Linked DNA regions of Anolis sagrei. The protein of the gene in region 1 interacts with the protein of each later gene in a biochemical or structural test. Links are inferred from orthologs where the notes say so. Each region holds a gene or a part of one and is shown on either strand. Other genes may lie near its edges.

Region 1 (10,650 bases):
CTAATAATGGTATCTTGGGACCCATTGTCGCCAGAGCCATAACTGCATTGGGTCTTGATCAAGAGAGAAAAGCAGGACATGAATAATATAATTATATTAATAATGATAATAATAATACTCCAGTAGCCAAAGCACTATATCATACTGTCTCATCTTGGAACTATATGGCATCATATTTTAGTAGAGTTGTTTAAAACCAATCCAATGTAATGTAGATTTATAATTTGCCATTTACAAGTGTTACTGTATTGTTTGAGAAATTATAGTAATGAAAATCAGTTAAGAAATATTTTAAAATATCCATGAGGGGATATTTTATAATTTCTATTTCCAATGAGGGGAGGGGGCCCTTGAAGAAAAAAGCCATCCGCTCCTTGTTGCATGCCAATTATATATGTTTTAAATATTTACTACATTGAATAGGGAAAGCTTGAATATTTTTTTAATGTAGATAGGAATCTGCCTTATTATAGAAATGAATAAGACCAATAAATATCTGATGTCGACTTGCTCTACTCCTTTTGATCAGATTACTCTATATCAATCCATGATTTGCCCTGACTAATTTGATTATGGTACTTTAATTATGAAGCACCCATTACTTCTCAAGGGACATTTTTACCATATGCTTCCTTGCAATGAGATTTCTCCCCCTTCTCCTGATTTGCTCTTCTTCCTGTGTCTTCTAATTGGAAATTTCTCTCTATTCATCCTCAGGCTCTTAGAAGACTGTAAGAAGCCTGTTATATTAATAGCTCTTACATGACTCAGGTTTGGTAACTCAACTATTTCTTGGCCCTCTTCGTCCTGAACTCTCTTTTTCTCCCTTATTCCTGCTGTGCCTCGAACTGCATTTTATCCAAAACAAAAGGGGAAAACTTGGCCTCCCTTTGTGCATTGCTTCTTTCTGGTTATTACCAGAGAGGAAAGGGAAACAATGCTCAAAAGACAACATTCAACTCTAGTGGGTCTGAGTTTTGTTTTTGTTTTTTATACAGTGAGTTTAGGTGGCAAGGGAAAAATTATAGTGAGAAGAAACCCACTTTACATCTAATGTACTAGTATTCAATTTTTCTTCAGTGAGAAACCTCTTATTTCCATCTGCTCCCCTGGCTGCAGGTGAGAGGTCTTATAAAATTACAACTCCCAGGATTCCATAGCTTTGAACCATGGCAGTTAGTTAAAGTGGTGTCATCTACAAAGTAAATGTACCCTCACATTGTTGTCCCTTCTGTCCCATTTCCAACTATTTTTCTTTATTACTGGTTCCTTTTCCCTTCCACTCTAGAGTCTGATCAGTCTAGAACACGGATCCACAAACTTTTAAAGAACAAATTCCTATGCACACTGTACAAATAGTATTTATGGTGCAAAAACCAACAACAAAAAACCCAATATTTAAAACAAATAATAATTTTAACCAACATAAACTTACCAGTATTTCAATGCTCTGATGACATAGTCAAGTTAATTAGGATTGTTGTAGGTTTTTTCGGGCAACAACCCAGTGATTCCGGCCATGAAAGCCTTCGACAATTAATAAGGATTGTTGTTGTGTGTAACTTCAAGTCATTTCAGACTTAGGGCAACCCTAAGTTATCTGAGGCCCCTTCCACACAGCTGAATAAAACCCCACATCTCCAGTTCAAAGCAGAGGGTCTCCGATAACCCAGTTCAAAGCAGATATTGTGAGATTTTCTGCCTTGAGATTCTGGGGGCCCTTCCACACAGCCCTATATCCCAAAATATCAAGGTAGAAAATCCCACAATATCTGCTTTGAACTGGGTTATCTGAATCCACACACAGATAATGTGGGATTTTCTGCCTTGATATTTTGGGTGGCACAATATCAGCCCTATATCCCAGAAGATCAAGGCAGAAAATCCCAGATTATCTGCTTTGAACTGGGTTATCTGAGTCCACACTCAGATAATGTGGGATGTTCTGCCTTGATATTCTGAGACATAGGGCTGTGTAGAAGGGCCCATAGCCACTGATGACTCTGCAAAAGATAACATCTCAATTCATATGCAGAAGTCAAACAGCAACATCAAAAAGGCAGGATGTCTTGACTACCTGAACATCTCTAATTCCACACTCTTTTCAAACATTTTCTGCTCAGCATTGTTGTTGTTCATTCGTTCAGTCGTCTCCGACTCTTCGTGACCTCATGGACCAGCCTACGCCAGAGCTCCCTGTCGGCCGTTACCACCCCCAGCTCCCTCAAGGTCAGTCCAGTCACTTCAAGGATGCCATCCATCCATCTTGCCCTTGGTCGGCCCCTCTTCCTTTTGCCTTCCACTTTCCCCAGCATAATTGTCTTCTCTAGGCTTTCCTGTCTCCTCATGATGTGGCCAAAGTACTTCAACTTTGTCTCTAGTATCTTTCCCTCCAGTGAGCAGTTGGGCTTTATTTCCTGGAGGATGGACTGGTTGGATCTTCTCGCAGTCCACGGCACTCTCAGCACTTTCCTCCAACACCACAGCTCAAAAGCATCGATCTTCCTTCGCTCAGCCTTCCCTAAGGTCCAGCTCTCACATCCGTAGGTTACTACAGGGAATACCATGGCTTTGACTAGGCGGATCTTTGTTGCCAGTCTGATGTCTCTACTCTTCACTATTTTATCGAGACTGGACATTGCTCTCCTCCCAAGAAGTAAGCGTCTTCTGATTTCCTGGCCACAGTCTGCATCTGCAGTAATCTTTGCACCTAGAAATACAAAGTCTGTCACGGCCTCCACGGTTTCTCCCTCTATTTTCCAGTTGTCAATCATTCTTGTTGCCATAATCTTGGTTTTTTTGACGTTTAGCTGCAACCCGGCTTTTGCGCTTTCTTCTTTCACCTTGATTAGAAGGCTCCTCAGCTCCTCCTCGCTTTCGGCCATCAGAGTGGTGTCATCTGCATATCTGAGGTTGTTAATGTTTCTTCCAGCAATTTTCACCCCAGCTTTGCATTCATCCAGCCCCGCACATCGCATGATATGTTCTGCATACAAGTTAAAAAGGTTGGGTGAGAGTATGCAGCCTTGCCGTACGCCTTTCCCAATCTTGAACCAGTCTGTTGTTCCGTGGTCAGTTCTGACTGTTGCTACTTGGTCCTTGTACAGATTCCTCAGGAGAGAGACAAGGTGGCTTGGGATGCCCATCCCACCAAGAACTTGAACAATGAACTTGAACCGCCTCCTGAACAATGTCGCGGACTTCTGTCCATAGTTCTTCTGGGACTCTGTTTACTAAATCTAGTCCTTCAAATCTGTTCTTCACTTCCACTGTATATTCGCTAGGAATGTTAGTGAGATCATATCTAACTGGTCTGTGTATTTTCCCTGATCTCTTTAGTTTTATTCTAAATTGGGCAATAAGAAGTTCGTGATCTGAGCTACAGTCAGCCCCAGGTCTTGTTTTCACCGACTGGATGGATGTCCGCCACCTTTGGCTGCAAAGGATGTAGTCAATCTGATTTCGGTGTTGACCATCTGGTGAGGTCCATGTATAAAGCCGTCTTTTAGGTTGTTGGAAGAGAGTATTCGTTATACACAGCGAGTTTTCCTGGCAGAATTCTATCAGCCTGCGTCCCGCTTCATTTTGTTCTCCCAGACCATGCTTGCCTGTGATCCCAGTTGTCATTTGACTTCCCACCTTGGCATTCCAGTCTCCTGTAATGAAAATAATGTCTCTTTTTGGTGTATTATCCAGTAGGTCCTGCAGATCCTCATAGAACTGATCTACTTCTGCTTCTTCAGCAGCTGTGGTTGGGGCGTATATTTGGATCACTGTGATGTTGAAAGGCTTTCCTTGCACTCGAATTGAGATCATTCTGTCATTTTTTGGGTTGTATCCAAGCACCGCTTTAGCGAATTTCTTATTAATTATGAAGGCTACTCCATTTCTTCGATGTTCCTCTTGTCCACAGTAGTAGATCTGGTGGTCATCTGATGTGAAGTGGCCCATTCCAGTCCATTTCAGTTCACTGACCCCCAGAATGTCTATCTTTAGTCTTGACATCTCACCAATAACAACATCCAATTTGCCCTGGCTCATAGATCTTACATTCCAGGTTCCTATGGTGTGTTGATCTTTAGAGCATCGGATTCGTCGTTCGCCTCCAGTACCGTCGGCCGCTAGCCTTCCTTTCGGCTTTGAGCTAGCTGCGTCATCACATCTGGGGCTAGTTGAACTTATCCTCTGCTCCTCCCCAGTAGCATTTTGGCCATCTTCCGACCTGGGAGTCCCATCTTCCAATGGCATACCGACATATCTCTGTTTGTACTGGTCCATTTAGTTTTCTTGGCAAGGATACTGGAGTGGTTTGCCATTGCCTTCCCCAGGGATCACGCTTGGTCTGACCTCTCTGCCACAACCGTCCCGTCTTGGGTGGCCCTTCACGGTTTCGCTCATGACATCATTGAGGTGCTCAAGCTCCAGCGCCCCGACAAGGCAGTGATCCTTTGCTGGAGGCTCAGCATCTGCATATCTTATAAATATCTCCTTGATAAATATGCAAGAAGGTGGAAGGCACACACACAGAGAGACTTTAGAAGTTATATTTGATATGCCTATGCACAGAATGTCATCATGATTGACAAGCTTTTAAAAATCAAATGCAGGTGTGATGGTAGTATTGCTTTTGAGCAAATAGTGGATCTAAAAGTCTTAAATGCTACTCAGATAATGTGGGATTTTCTGCCATGATATTCTGGGATATAGGGCTGTGTGGAAGGGCCGAGTTCACACTCAGATAATGTGGGATTTTCTGCCTTGATGTGGGATTTTCTGTCTCGAAATTCTGGGATATGGAGCTGTGTGGCAGGGCCCTGAGTTATCTGAGGCCCTTTCCACAGTTGGATAACACCCACAATATCTGCTTTGAACTGAGTTATCTGACTCCACACTCAGATGTGGGATTTTCTGCCTTGATATTCTGGGATATGGAGCTGTGTGGAAGGGTCCTGAATTATCTGGGGCCCTTTCTACACAATTGAATAACACCCACAATATCTGCTTTGAACTGGGTTATCTGAATCCACACTCAGATAACACGCACTGAGTTGGACATACTGCCTGAGTTGGACATGATTTTATCTTGGCGATTTGACTTATTTGTAATTTTAATTGATATGTATTTTAACTCGTTATTATATGTTTTTAGATTGACTGTAATTGCTGTTTTAATGTTTTACTGTAATATGCATTATGATGTTTTATTGATTGTATGTGATATTATGGTTGGAAACCGGTCTGAGTCCCTCAGGAGAGGTGAGAAGGTCGGTATGCAAAACTTTTAAATAAATAAATAAATATTCCAATTCAAAGCAGAAAATGTTGGATTTTATTCAGCTGCGTGGAAGAGGCCTGATTATATTGAATGTGAAGGGACCCTTCACTTTGCTTTCCCCCTCTAGAATGAGGAGAGAATCCTCTCAGCGCTCCCCTTTTATAGGCGGAATCCCCTTTTATAGGCTCCTCGCGCCCCCCTCTCATCCCACGTGACACCCTGACCAACGGTCGCTCCTTAACGACTTTCCCAACTCTCTCTCTCTCTCTCTCCTACGCATCCTTTCCCCCCAAATAGACTTCAGAGTAGTCGCTTCATCCCAGTGCGGTGCGCGTGCGCCCTTTCTCGCTCCCTTCCGTGCGCATGCGCCAACAACTCCGAGAGGGGCGAGAATTAAAATATATATATATATATATATCTACCCAAGGCTCGCGGCCGCCATATTGCGGCGCTGTCAGCGGAGGCGGCGGCGTTTGCCGCTCTTTGCGCCGGAGGCCAGTCAGCTGGGGAGCCCTGAGGAGAAGAGTGGCGCTCGGAGCGGCCCCGCAGCGCCTCCTGGCCGGCTCTGCCGCCCTCTTGACGCCCAAGGCCGCCGGGAGACCAAAAGGCCGGCCAAGAGGAGAGAGAAGTCGCAGCCCCCGCCAGGGAGGTAAGAAGGAAGGACGCCGGCGGCTTGCCTCAGGCCTTGCTCTTGCCCTGCCTCCCTCCCTCGCCGTTCTCCTCAAACGCCTGGGATGCACATGGAGTTTCTAGCGGTTTAGATAAGTAGGGGAGCCTCTACATCAGTGTTTCTCAACTTGGGGGTCGGGACCCCTGAGGGGGTCGCGAGGGGGTGTCAGAGGGGTCGCCAAAGACCATAAAAAACAGTATTTTCCGATAGTAATGGGGATTCCATGTGGGAAGTTTGAGCCAATTCTATCATTGGTGGGGTTCAGAATGTTCTTTGATTGTAATGAACTATAAAGCCCAGCAACTACAACTCCCAAATGTCAAGATCTATTTTCCCCAGACTCCACCAGTGTTCACATTTGGGCATATTGAGTATTCGTGCCAAGTTTGGTCCAGATCCACCATAGCATGAGTCCACAGTGCTCCCTGGATATAGGTGAACTACAACTCCCAAACTCAAGGTCCATGCCCATCAAACCCTTCCAGTGTTTTCCATAGGTCATGGGAACCAAGTTTGGTTCAAATCCATCGCTGGTGGAGTTCAGAATGCTCTTTGATTATAAGTGAACTATAAATCCCAGCAACTACAACTCCCAAATTACAAAATCAATCCTCCCCCAACCCCACTAGCATTCACATTTGGGTGTATTGGGTATTTGTGCCCAGTTTGGTCCAGTGAATGAAAATACATCTTGCATATCAGATATTTACATTATGATTTATAACAGTAGCAAAATGACTGTTATGAAGTAGCAACGAAAACAATATTATGGTTGGGGGTCACCACAACATGAGGGACTGTATTAAGGGGTCATGGCATTAGGAAGGTTGAGAACCACTGCTCTACATCAAGCATGGCCAAACTTGGGCCCTCCAAGTGTTTTGGACTGCAACTCCCACCATTCCTAAGCTTAAGAGGCAGAGGAGGAAAAGGAAGGGGCCTGAGGCTGTTAGGAATGGTGGGAGATGCAGTCCAAAACACCTGGAGGGCCCAAGTTTGCCCAGGCCTGCTCTACACTGCAGAATTAATGCAGTTTGGCACCACTTTTAGCATCCACGGCTCACCGCTATGGAATCCCAGGAGTCCTAATTTTAAAATGTCCTTAGCCTTCTCTAAACTGCAAACTACAACTTCCAGCGTTGAGCCTTGGCGCTTGGAAGTGGTGTCGAACTGCATTGGTGAGCCTTAGCTTTTGTGGAAGAGGCGACAAGGAGCCCAGGCTTCCCTTATTTATTTATTTATTATTTATTCATTTACGACATTTATATCATCATCATCACTTTATTTCTTAATTAGTCACTCTCCTCCAAGGTGCTCCGAGCGACTTACAATTTAAAACAGTTTATACACAATATAAAACATTCAATATAAAAACATTCAATATAAAAACATTCAACATAAAACATTCAACATAAAAACATTCAGCAGTGACTATGGCATTTATACCCCACCCTTCTCACCCTGAAGGGGATACAGAGCGGCTTACAAGCAGAGGCGACCCTAAGTAATTTTCAATGGTAAGCAAACAGTATTTTGGCACCCCCCTCCCCAACCAATCACTGATATATATTTTCTGTTCGTCGTAGGAGTTCTGTGTGCCATATTTGGTTCAATTCCATCATTGGTGGAGTTCAGAATGCTCTTTGATTGTAGGTGAACTATACATCCCAGTAACTACAACTCGCATATGTCAAGGTCTATTTTCCCCCAAGAGCGCCTCAAGAGCGCCCCTGGGCAAAATCAACTATACTGCAAAGGCTTACTTTGCATAATAGTTGAGCCGCCCCTGTTTACAAGTTATATGTACAATACAATATATTAGATTATATTATTGTTATAGCACACTATTAGTATTATATATGTATTATATTAGTATTAGTATTATATATTAGTATTATATTGTTAGTATTATATATGGAGCCCCCGGTGGCGCAGTGGGTTAAACCCTTGTGCCGGCAGGACTCAAGACCGACAGGTCCCAGGTTCGAATCCAGGGAGAGGCGGATGAGCTCCCTCTAACAGCTCCAGCTCCTCATGCGAAGACATGTGAGAAGCCTCCCACAAGGATGATAAAACATCAAATCATCCGGGCGTCCCTTGGGCAATGTCCTTGCAGACGGCCAATTCTCTCACACCAGAAGCGACTTGCAGTTTCTCAGGTCACTCCTGACACGACAAAAAAAATTTATATATTACTATTATATTATATTTTGCTATTATGATCAATATTATAGGTACATATAACATATTATATTATTAGCATAGCACAATATTAGTATTATATATAACTATATTGTATTGTACCACTATACTGCATTGTTATTAGTAATATTACATGTAATATATAATATATAATAATATTATTATATTGTATTAGTAGTATTATATTGTATTACGGTATTATGATCAATATTATATGTACATGCAATATATAATATTAGCATAGCACAATATTAGTATATAGTACTATATTGTACTATGCTGCAATATAATTAGTAGTATTACATGTAATATATAATAAATAATAATTATTATATTGAATTATTATTAGTATTATATTGTATTACAGCAGGCATCCTCAAACTGCAGCCCTCCAGTTGTTTGGGCCTCCAACTCCCAGAAGCTCTAACAAGCTTGTTCATTTGTCAGGAATTCTGGGAGTTGAAGGCCTAAACAGCTGGAGGGGTGCAGTTTGAGGATGCCTATATTACAGTATTATGATTAATGTTATAAGTACATACAATATATTATATTATTAGCACAGCACAATATTAGTGTTATATATTACTATATTATACTATGCTGCAATATTTATTTATTTATTTATTTATTATAATATTTATTTATTATTTATTGTACTATGCACTTCAATATTTATTTATTTATTTTACTATATTTCTAGCCCACCTTTCTCACTCCAAAGGGGACTCAGAGTGACCTTACAATAGGTAACAGTTAGATGCCACATAAAACAGACATAATAAAAAAAATACCCAAATAAGGGGCCAGACCCTTTCACCCGCCAGAGATGTAAGCCACTGCTGCATTGTTGCAGCAGTGGCACCACTTTTAACTAGAACGTCTTAGTTTTATAGAATTCTGGGATTTACAGTTTGGTGGGATATTTTGCCTTCTCGGGTGCTACAGCAAATCTCTACACTATAGAATGAATGGTTTGATACCACATTGATTGCCATAGCTCCGTGTTGTGGAATCCTAGTTCTACGCCAGACATGAGCCAACTTCGGCGCTCCAGATGTTTTGGACTTCAACACATAGCTAGTTAGGGCAAATGTTGGCCCTCCAGGTGTTTTGGACTTTAACTCCCACAATTCCTAACAGCCGGTTATGGTAAGAGTGCTAATGTCTCAGCAAACTACACCTCCCAGAACCCCATAGCATCGAGCCGTGGCAGTTAAAGTGGTGTCAATCTGCTATAATTCTGCAGTTCGGACTGGCCCCTGGAATTTCCTCCTCCTGTTTTTAAGAGCTGGATATAATTCCTCCGCCCTGGCCATTTCCCATCCCAGAGTGGCTCCTTTTATTCCCTGCCTTCTCCTTTTCTTTGCCTTCCGTCTCTCCCTTTCCCACCTCCCTTCCTTGAAGTAAAAAGTGTCACTGATTCATGCACTGTGCTAACATTTGATGAAAGGTCTCTATGTAGTTTGATCAAGTGCTTGTGTGTCAAAATGAGGCAAAAAAAGGGGTCAGACCTCTTTTCATTTATTCTCCCCACCTTTTTCATTTCTTTGGATTTCTTGGCTACTGTGTGGGAAGGATCTTAAGGTTGTCATACATTTACGGAAAGTTGCTTGCCTGAGCACAGTGGGACCTAAAAACAAGTAAGAAGAAAGCAATCATGGTAAACTCTCTCTGAACAAGTCTTGCCAAGAAAACCCCATGATAGGTTCGCCATAAATCAGCTATAGCTTGAAGATTCGTAACAACAAAGTGCCCTTTGGGATAGAAGCTGGGCAGCCTAATTTGTAGGGAGTAAAGGAAGATTTCACTGAATATCTCAGGAGTAACTCATTTTTTGTATAATGGAAAGCATCCCTGAGATCCAGCAGCAGGTCTTTCGCAGTCCAAGCTGAAGTTCTTGTGTTTGGTTAGGAACTGTGTTTGAACTGTTTGCTATGAGATTTCCAATATAAACTTGTTTAGTCAACTACTATCCAAGAGGGATCAAGATGTTTTTGTTCTTCCCACTCTTTCTATGTGTGCAGTAAAACTAATCATTTTATGGAGTGGAGGAAATGCCTAGGGGTAAAGGAGGAAGATGAACTAAAAACATCTCCACCATGTGGCTTGTCTACTTGTTGCAAATGGGGACAAGCACACTGTTAACACGTTTTGCATGTCAGCAGCTACCAAATGTCTACCCAGCCCCCTCCGTCACAGTCTCTTGGGTGTGGGAAGAGTCCCAAGAGGTTGCCAGCAATTGGAGGAAGCAGTAATTGTACATTGAGGTCAGAAATTTCTATCCAGGCTCTTTGTATCTTCCTTTTCTTCCCACACCAAGGAGGCAAGGTTTTGATTATACTTTTAAGAGGGCAGCATATTTCTGAGCTTGCTTCATGGTAGAACAATTTTTTTTAAAAAAAAATGAAGTACATCTGACTTGCATCCTGATATCAATATTAGCGTAGTACATCTGTTGGTTTAAGTAAAAGAGCTGTTAGTGGTTACATTTACAAGCTTTTAT
Region 2 (10,682 bases), on another chromosome or scaffold:
CCCTTGGTTCTTGAAAGAAGTATTTTAGCATTATTTTACAGACTAGTAAGGTTTTTGGACTAATAACCCTTGTGATGCATATCCTTTTTATTTTTAGGACGTCCCATGAATATCCAACTGGTTACATCACAAATAGATACACAGAGGAGACCAATACAGAGGTAGGAGATTTAATCTTTATTGATGATGATGATAATAATAATAAGTTTGTTCTTTTATACCGCCACCATCTCCCCGAAGGGACTTGAGGCGGCTTACACACAGCACAAGGTGCCTAAAGACAGAGCATAAAAGGAAAACAATTTAAAAATACAATTAAATGATGCCTGCTAATTAATGTTACGTAGTAACTTCAGCTTTAGGAACTGCTAAAAAGGAATGCTATATGAATTTTGATTGCATAAGAGCACTTCCTATCCTGAATCCTTGTGGGTTTTTCAGAATGATTTTTAAAACTTTCAGCCATGTTGCCATACTTCATCTACTTTCAGAGTACTTCATAGAATATATAACTTGTATTTTCCCTTTTTCAAATTACTTACTGTGCTTCTAATTTAGTCTTTCTTTTGATTTTAGCATAAATAGAGGAGGCATGACCAGAAACCGTGGTGGATCAGGTGGCTTTGGTGGTGGCAACAGACGAGGTAGCCGTGGTGGCAGAGGGAGAGGTCGAGGTGCAGGCAGAAGTTCCAAACAGCAACTCTCTGCTGAAGAATTGGATGCACAGTTGGATGCTTACAATGCCAGGGTAAGTACCAGCAGGAGCTGGGGGAGAGGGACAAATGAGTCTGTTAGTATTAGTGGTGCAAGCTAGTGGTATTGGTCTTCCGATGAAAGGGTACAGCTTCAAAAAAAAGTACAATACATGAATATGGTAGTAATTTTGCCTGGATGCTGGGATGTATGTTGTGCTTTTCCTTGCATTTCTACTTACTGCCCTTTTTATTGAATGTATGAACTGATCTCATGTATGTAGAGAAGTTCCAGCAAGACAAAGTGTGTTTCTTGTAAAATCAACTATTAGATTTTACAAATCACTGAACTTTATAGTAGAATGCTGGTTCAATATATCAGAGTTTGCAAAGTGACATCTTCCACAGTTTCACATCTTTCACAGTCTGCTGCTTTGTAGTCTCCTATTCAAATCATCTAGACATGATTCAAAATTAGAATCTCGCTGGCAGCATGTGTGTGTGTTAATTCCATATCCCTTGAGCTTCAAATACTGTGTGGATTTAGATTTTAGATTTCCATTAGCTGGCATAGTGAAATTGTGCAGTATTAAATAGAGATCTTTACGCAGTATGCTTGTGATTACTTGATTTATTAATAGTATGTTTTATTCATTTCTAATATATACTCAAGTGTAAGTCTAAACTTTTAGTCAAGAAATCAGCCCCCAAAACCCTGGGACCACAAATAATGTAACTCCTTTCTAAAAAGCATTCATTCTCTTCTTGGGAGTGGACTGGCAAAGATCAAGAGCTTAGTTCATATGGGAGAACTTAAAAGAAGGACCAACCCCCCCACCTCGACTGTGGCACGGCTTCTAGCCCTTTTGAATGCCTAGATGGGAAAATGGTAGTGGTAGCCAGAGTCAGGTGGCCCTGAAAGGGTGTTTTCCCTTCTTCACATATTGACCCTCAATTCACACACAGGTCATATCAAAATCCATCATTTTAGCCTCAAGATGTGCACTTGACATGTGATTGACTTATACATGACTATATACGGTACATTAAATAACTTATTTGGACATTGTGGAGTTTCTTTACCAACAGTTTACCAGATATGCTACTGCTGTGAAAAGTTGTAGCTCTTGCACTTGGAATATATTTTGGGGTTGATTCTGTATTAATAGCAACATATTTGAAATTTTATAATTTTTTTGTTAAACTGTCACTGTAAAATAGTGATCACTGATAATAATATGGAGGATATTTTTAATTAAATGATCATTAAACAAGTATTTAAAATGTGGACTCACGCTTTAGTTATAGTAACATTTTCGCCATAGAAAGATATCTAAAAATGGGATGCACCTTAAAATCACAGTTGCCCTTTTATGTATATAAATATGGCCTTGTTTTTTCTTGGTAGTACTGAAAGTAGTGTGTATCTTACAACTGCTGTCTTAGAATAAAAAAATACAGTATTTTGAAGATGTTCTCTAAGAAATGCATGTTGCCATCTTGATGGGGAAACAATAGAGCTTGGGTTTTTAAAAAAAATCAAAGTGATAATTGGTTTGATTGATCTATGCTGCTGGGGAGTGGGTTTGCTCAAACCTATGGCTTTCTTGTCTTTTTCCTAAGCTGATAGCAACCAAGTAACTGTTTTTTTTCCTTCATAGATGGACACCAGTTAAACCTGTTGGTGCATCATGTGCATGGGAAGGACTGCAGACATCTCATTCCATGCTCCCCAGCGGGAGGGGGAAAGGTGTATGGCGGCGGCTACTAATATCAAGAATGGAATTTGTTTTACTTTTATGTTTTGGAATAGGTTTTAAACTCATGTAAAGGTTTCTTTCTTTTTTTTAAATTCTGGAACAGATCTGTTTTGTACTGAGTTATTTTTTGGGAAAAAATTTACTGGTTGCCAGTTGGGCCACGGTGACTTTTTAACCATGGCAATAATAAAATAGAAATGTGTCTAGAGCTGTAAATGTCTGCTTCCTGTTGCAGCTGGAGTCCAGCTTTGAGACTGCAGAAACCAAGACGGGTAGGGGAGCAACTATCTGCCTGCAGGCCCCTAGCAAAAGTGTTGGTGCTCATTGTGCTTCCCATAGGGAGAGATTCAGATCTCTCTCCACCAGCTGGGGCTTACAAACTCTGTATCTCCAATCTCCTGTGTGTTTATCTTCCTCCTTTCTATGCTAAAGCCAAACAGTGTGACTACTTTTTCAGGGAGGTGGGGGGTAGAATCCAATGAAAAGGCTCTATCTACCCTTTGTGATCAAGGAGAGGGGGAGAACCCTTGTTGAAGTCATTTTTGTATTAAACACTTGATTCCAAAGTTCAGTGCTGGTCCCACTTCAGTATTTTTACTGTAAAATGGTTACTGTGATAATTCAGTGACTCCAACATGCCAAGTAAAGATTTAGTCTTTCAACTTGCAACTCCCTGCTGAATTCTTATTTCACATAATTTTCTGGCAATTTTATTATTCGTTCTTATGTACTAGTAATGGGGAGGGCGGGGAGGAAACAGAATACCTGTCAAAATAATGTGTTACAAATCAAATGGTATAAACTGAATAACATAGCAACACTACCAGCAGGTAGAATTATAATCTTTTCATCCATAATAGGGGGTTTTGACAAATAAGAATCAGTTTTGAAATCTCAGATTAATTTCTGAATAGTATTGTGCCAATGGCTTTCTAATGCTCAAAGGAATGTGGCTACATCAGTAATTTGAAAAAAAAATGGCACAGTAATATAGCAAAGTTACACAACACTTAATGACCAATCCTTAAATATTGCTTTTGAACACAGATGTCAAAAGAAAACATTTAGCAAAAATGGCTCAATGTGGTCGTAGGACATCTAGATTTATCTATTAAAATATTTATATCCTCCTTTGATCTAAAGAGTTTGGGAAGGTTTACAATAATATCACTATGATCAATTTAAGACACAGTTTAAATGTCTAAAAGATGATATATAGATAACTTGCTAAATAATTAGGCAAAATATAATCATGGTAAATAGTTTCAGAATTTGAAACAACATTGAAAGAACTGTTCCTGTTCATAATGATATACATTTGGTGTAGAAAGTATATTAATTGGGGGGGGGGGGAGTCTCGCATAACTTCAGCATGTGGTGAAATATTTCTTTGGCTTTAAAACTCAGACAAGTCTTTGAGTCTTCCAATATCAAGATATTTTCTCCGTGTTCATTTAAGAAATAGAGCAAGGTGTTCTCAAAACATGGCATCTTGAAACAATATTTTTGAATAAGACCATATATTTTTGTACAACATAGAGATCCCCTTTAAAGAACGGGTAATGGAGAATTCTAGTTTAAACCTCTTTGTACTGCATGCAAATTTAGCATGGTTCTTTAAAAATATTTTTGAAAATTGATAGAACATTTGTACCAAACAGGCTCGAGTTGAAATACCACAAGCCACAATCTAATTGCCATGACATGGCTTAGATTTGTTTGTTTAGGTCTTTATTAGTGGCCGTGAAAGTAATAAAGAACAAGTTCATTCACTCACAGTAGAATATACATGTGATACAATGGTGGACTGCTGCTTGTTTCGGTCACTGACTTGGGAGCTTAAACATATCATTCCTGAGGCCAATGAAGAGGCACTATTGAATTTCTTGACATTACTGTTTCTGTAATGTCAAGAAAGTTTCTTTACATCCATAGGAAGAATTGTAGCAGGACCTTAGATGCACACTTCCCATGCTAAGTTTCACCTTAAGAATTCATCATCATTCAGGGGTTTGCCCTGCTACAGAGCCTGATACGTTGCCCTATTACATTACAATACACTGTAAAGAGACGGAAGGTGCTCCTGGTGGTTTAAACCCGAGTTAGAACCAATAGCTGCAAGCAAGCAAGTCTGATTTTATGCAGCCAAAGACACCACAGCACTGAAAATGTTGACATGGTCATGCACCTACACCAGACATGGACATCCTCCCAGGACTTTTGAACTTCCACAATTTGTAACAGCCTACCAGCTGGGTTCTCAAAGGCTTTCATGGCCGGAATCACTGGGTTGCTGTGAGTTTTCCAGGCTGTATGGCGATGTTCCAGAAGCATTCTCTCGACATTTCGCCCACATCTATGGCAGGCATTATCAGAGGTTTTGAGATTTGTTGGAGTCTAGGCAAGGGGGGTTTATATATCTGGAATGTCAAGGGTGCATTAAGAACTCTTGTCTGCTTGTAGCAAGTGTGAATGTTGCAATTGACCACCTTGATTAGCATTTAATGGCCTTGCAGGTTCATACCACAATTCCAAACTAACTGTTTGGAATTATGGGAGTTGAAGTCCACAAAACCTGGGGGTGGCAAAGTTTCTACTGTGATTCTATTGTGAACACAGTAGAATCCATGCAGTAGACACTCCTCTATTTGCCTTGGCTCAATGCTATGGAATCATAAAAGCTGGAGTTTAACAAAGCAAAGCCTTTTCTGCCAAAGAATACTGGGCCTTACCAAACTACAAATTCCATGATTCTAGGACACTGAGCTTTAGCAGTTAATGCTGTGTCAAACTTCATTCGTTCCATAGTATATTGTAGATGCATCCACAATCTGCTGGGAGACAATTGGATCCTCCCTTCAGTGGCACAAATATTTATTGATTGACTGGCCTCATCCCTGGGTGATGAGCCTTTGGTGGTGCAATGGGTTATTATTTATTTACTGTATTTGTATACCGCCTTTCTCAGCCCGTAGGCAACTCAAAGCGGTTATCAGAGTAAAATTCAATGCTTACAATATCATAAATATAATTAAAAACAAAACAAATAATAAAAACTAAACAAATAAAAACTAAAACAAATCAATAAAATATAAATTTATAGTGTCTCCTTGTTAAAAATGTCTGGTCTCATTGTCATTTGACTAACTGACATTTTCCTATGTCAGTTATTCTACATTTGGAAACACTTGTTCAAAAAGCCATGTCTTGACTTTTTTCCAGAATGTTAAAAGGGAGGTGACCGATCTAATATCTATAGGAAGGGCATTCCATAGCCGAGGGGCTACCACCAAGAAGGTCCTGTCTCTCGTCTCCACCAAACATACGAAGGTAACAAAGGTGGTAATGAGAGCAGGGCCTTCCCAGGTAATCTTAAGGCCCTAGATGGTTCATAAGGAGAGATGCGTTCGGACATGTAAGTTAAACCCTTGTGCCAACAGGACTGCTAACCTGAAGGTCAGTGGTTCGGATCTTCAAGATGGGATCCAGCTTCACATGAGAAGCCTCCCACCGGATGGTAAAACATCCAGGCGTCCCCTGGACAACATCCTTGCAGACGGCCAATTGTCTCACACCAGAAGCAACTTGCAGTTTCTCAAGTCGCTCCTGACACAAAGAAAAAACATACTTGGGTGAACTCATTCACAAACTGGGACCTCATCACACTAGCGAATGAATCCACTTTAAATCCGGTTTCTGCCTCCTGCAGAATTCTGGGGTTTGTAGTTTAGGGAAGAGCCTTTAAAGAAACCGGATTTAAAGTGGATAGCGTGATGAAGGAGCCAGATCCAAAAGCACCCCCAATATCCAGCGCCAAAGCGGCTCTCTTAGCGGTTCCTTAGCGGTCTGACACCCTTTATTCACCACAATGGGCTCTGTTCCACCAGGAAGAGCACAACTCAGCTTTCCTCAAGGTACTTTTTTTCCTAAGGGCCCCTCTAGGATCTCCGCTCGCTTGCTGGCAGTTCCTTCCCTTCGTCTTGGTAACCAACGTAGGGCGCGCAGGACGGAAGTGGACTCTATATCCAAAACAAGGGTGGAGCGAGTTATGAAGGGGGGAAAAACCCGGAAGTGACGTCAGGTGGCACCGCGGAAGTAAGGGGGCGGGCAGGCGTGCGCGCGCAGGGGCGGGGTGGAGGATTTTGGGCGGTGGCGGCGGCGCTTGTCACCGGAGGTGGCAGCAGGAGCAGCGGCGGCGGCGAGGAGGAGGAGGAGGTGAGGCGGGTGCCGGCGAGCGAGGGAAGGGCCTCTTTCTCGGGCCTTCTTCCGCCCTCTTTTCCCCCTCCCTGGGACGGCTGCGGTGCCCCTGAAGCGGGAAGGGCGTGCCGCCGCTCTCGGGCCGGCCCTTTGTGGGTCCCGCGAGGAGGGGTCCCTTCCTTTCCTTTCCTTTCCTTTCCTTTCCTTGGAGCCTTCTGCGCCTCAGGGCTCCCTCCCACAAACCGGCCTTGGCCTCGTGCCTGCCAGGCTGCCCCTGAGCGCTCTCTGCGGGGCGGGGAGGGAGGCCAAGACAAAGCGGGCAGCAGCTACACTGCGGTTGGACACCACTCTCACGGCCCTGCCTCAGTGCTCTCGCAGCCCGGGATTGGCCTCTCAGCCAGGGACCATCACTCCTGGGCAGAAGGGACTAAAGGCCTTGGAAAAAAACACACCTCCCAGGATCCCATAGCCTTAAGTCAGGGCAGTGTCAGTGGGGTCAGACTGCATTAGTTCATCAGGGTGTATGCGCCCGAAAGCAAAGCTTCCTATGTACCTCCATTCGGGTTTCTATTTGCTGCAGTGCCTCTATCTTCGCTATACCGTGCATGCACCACTACCTTGTTTGCAGGGATGCTTTGGGACAGGGATGGATCTCATACCTTTTAAGCCCCACTGTTTCTTGAATGGTATCCATTAAATATGGGAGAGGAAGTCATAGGTGACTAAAATCATCAAGGGTCTGGAGAACAAGCCCTATGAGGAGTGGCTTAAAGAGCTGGGCATATTTAGCCTGCAGAAGAGAAGGCTGAAAGGAGACATGATGAGGGCCAGGTATGAATATGTGAGGGAAAGTCATAGGGAAGAAGGAGCAAGCTTGTTTTCTGCTGCCCTGGGGACTAGGATGCAGAATATTGTCTTCAAACTACAGGAAAGGAGATTCCACCTGAACATTAGGAAGAACTTCCTGACTGTGAGAGCCATTCAGCAGTGGAACTCTCTGCCCGGGAGCACGGTGGAGGCTCCTTCTTTGGAGACTTTTAAGCAGAGGCTGGATGGCCATCTGTCAGGGGTGCTTTGAATGCGATTTTCCAGCTTCTTGACTGGGGGTTGGACTGGATGGCCCACGAGGTCTCTTCCAACTCTTGTGATTCTAAGTGTGAAACCATTCTTTGTCATTTCTAAGCTACTTTAAAAAGCTTGGTTGCTTTTGATATGAGATTTTATAATCACTGAAGGGGAAAAAATCTTGGGATGTAAATGGGCATAGATATGGATCAGGGCTTCATTTCAGCCAGTATGTGGTATTAGTGTTCGCTGGAGTCAGGGCATATCAGGATGTGTTGTGTAGTTCATTTATTCCCTTGTCATTTATTCCCATGTTGGGTTGTTGTAGGTTTTTTGGGTTGGATGGCCATGTTCTAGAAGCATTCTCTCCTGATGTTTCGCCTGCATCTATAGCAGGCATCCTCAGAGGTTGTGAGGTGTGAGGATGCCTGCCACAGATGCAGGTGAAACATCGGGAGAGAATGCTTCTAGAACATGGCCATGCAGCCCGAAAAACCTACAACAACCCAGTGATTCCAGCCATGAAAGCCTTCGGCAGTACATTAACCCCCATGTTGCTAGGTTATCAGTGGTTCTCAGCCTGTGGGTCCCCAGGTGTTTTGGCCTACAACTCCCAAAAATCCCAACCAGTTTACCAGCTATTAGGATTTCTGGGGATTGAAGGCCAAACATCTGGGGACCCACAGGTTGAGAACCACTGGTTTAGATGGACAGAATGAATGGTTGCTTTTCAGGTAGACTTGAAGAGGAATGCCTCTCCTCCTTAACGGGAACTGCTGTGGCCAGGGAAATGATTCATACTGTTTCAAAGCCTTTAAAGTAGGCAGGGATAGTTCAGCATTAGAACTTTCTTCTTGTGTCGAGAAGGCTTATATAGCCAGAATTCATGTGGAGCAAGTTCAAGAGGATTCAGCTGAGAATAATTCAATCTTTTATGGCAGGAAGCTGAAGAATTCTATATGTCTTGGTTATGCTTCTCCTAAACTATAACTCCTGCCCTTGATGCAAGGAAGCAATTCTTATTTGGGTGAAAGTATGATAGCTGGGACCAAGTGCTGGAAGCGTTATGCTGATTCCGCAATGCTGCTTCGTCAACGCTGATAGCGTAATGTGGCAGCAGGATACCACTGAACTCAGTTAATGCAAGCGGGACACAAATAACAGTGAAGTAATTTAACAGGTCGGTGATAGTATAGCTGGGACCTAACGGTACGCTACGTGAGCAAGGCGGTTCAGAATAGAGGAATGGAAGATGACCCCATCACGGGTCAGAAAGGGGGGGGGAACAGAAAGAAAGGGGAACAATAAACAGAGGAGCATTGTGCTTAAGGGAAGTAAAGGAATCCGCATGCATCTCTCATTCCGCCCATTCTCTTGACCACGTGGTCACACACCTGGTCCTCATTCACAACCACCATTCCGGAATCAGCATAGCACTACTAGCACTCGGTCCCAGCTTTCATACTTTTACCGCTATTTGTTCCACAGTTTCTTTCTTTCTTTCTTGAGTATTTTGTGTGATATCCCTTGTGGCCTTGACAGCTAGAGATATTTGGAAGCCTGTCTTTGACTTTGAGCCCTTTCTCTGACACATAGTGTCTCCATGTGGCTGCTGCGTTATAGACCGAGGCAGAAGCTTATAATGCAAAATACCTTTTAAGCAGAGGACCAGTTCATGGTCCCTCAGATTGTTAGGGGCTGGACTGTAGTTTGAAAAAAAAGTGAACGAATTCCTGTGTGCACTGCACGTATCTTATTTGTAGTGCAAAAAACTATGAAAGGACAACACAATATTTTAAATGAAGAACAGTTTTCACCAACATAAATTTATCAGTATTTCAGTGGGAAGAGTGGGCCTGCTTTTGGCTAAAGAGATTTGTCAAGTTAATTACAATTGTTATTGTGTGCCTTCAAGTCATTTCAGACTTAGGGTGACCCTAAGTATAAATTTAGGTCGGACTGGGTAAATGACCTCGAAGGACCGCATCCACCCCATGGGCCTTGGTTTGGGGATCCCTATTATAAAATAAATCTTCTGTGAGAGCTGATTTCTTTTAAGAGGTGACTATTGTAGTCACCTATATACAATAATCACTTGCGGGCCATACAACTGTTGCTACACATTCAGAAACATCACAGGGTATAATACCTGCTGTTAAGGTTTCAGCAGTTGGATCATTATTGAATGCAAAGTTCAGCAAACATATATTTTTGTGCAGATTATATTGCACATGGCTTTCACTTTTTGGCATCTGATTTAATGACCCTAAAATGTTAAAATGACTAAGGAAATTGCAGTCTATTTTGGGGATTTAGAAAGTAGGATGCCAGGTCAGTGTCCTCATTATCTCAGCTAAATGGCTGTCATACTAATTGTTCTCTAGTTAGCTTTTAGAGCATAGAGGTGCCTGCCAAACATATAAGTATTATCTGCACAAGTTACTCATATTTTTAGCAAAGCATATGAAAACCAGATGTGAACTTCTCAGATCTGCAGATGGTGGTTAAAAAACAAACAAACAAACGTTCTGTTGTGTGTGAAGATGCTTCTGCACACAATAAAGGATGAGGCTCTAAAACAATCATCCTCCAAATTGTCGTTATTTATGATAAAGAGAGTAAAGCTGCTTAAATGCAGTACGTACCCTAGCGAAAGAGTTGTTGTATATTTGCACACAATGCATATGAAGAGGGAATATACATCCCCTCTCTTGCTGTGTTTGTCTTCAAATGTTGAAGAATACGAAGCCCCTTAATGTTTCTGGGCTACTTCTCAGTATTTACTATACTGTCTAGTTGAAGTCTGGTAACACCTGCAAAGCCACATGTTTCCCACTCTAACTATATAAATCCTGAATAGGGTTATTTTCTGCATCCTTTCTGAAAGTAACTTTTATCTTCTTTTTGGGAACTCTCCTGGGTGCTCTGGAGAGTCTTACTACTGGGACATTGCCCTTATCCATTCACA

The links. The genes of interacting proteins can lie anywhere in the genome.
Region 2: the proteins of RDX (region 1) and ARHGDIA form a complex in vitro, tested with the Homo sapiens proteins (2 studies listed by BioGRID and IntAct). The link is inferred for Anolis sagrei from reciprocal best matches to the Homo sapiens genes RDX and ARHGDIA.

What each region holds. Positions count from the first base shown.
Region 1 is NC_090023.1:27,273,137-27,283,786, reverse strand, and holds the start of RDX (radixin), read left to right. Parts: upstream 1-5,686; 5' UTR 5,687-5,924; intron 5,925-10,650. UniProt on the Homo sapiens protein: Probably plays a crucial role in the binding of the barbed end of actin filaments to the plasma membrane.
Region 2 is NC_090022.1:113,648,924-113,659,605, reverse strand, and holds the start of ARHGDIA (rho GDP-dissociation inhibitor 1), read left to right. Parts: upstream 1-6,560; 5' UTR 6,561-6,667; intron 6,668-10,682. Other genes in the region: ALYREF (THO complex subunit 4), read left to right, coding at 98-161, 577-748, 2,354-2,368. UniProt on the Homo sapiens protein: Controls Rho proteins homeostasis. Regulates the GDP/GTP exchange reaction of the Rho proteins by inhibiting the dissociation of GDP from them, and the subsequent binding of GTP to them.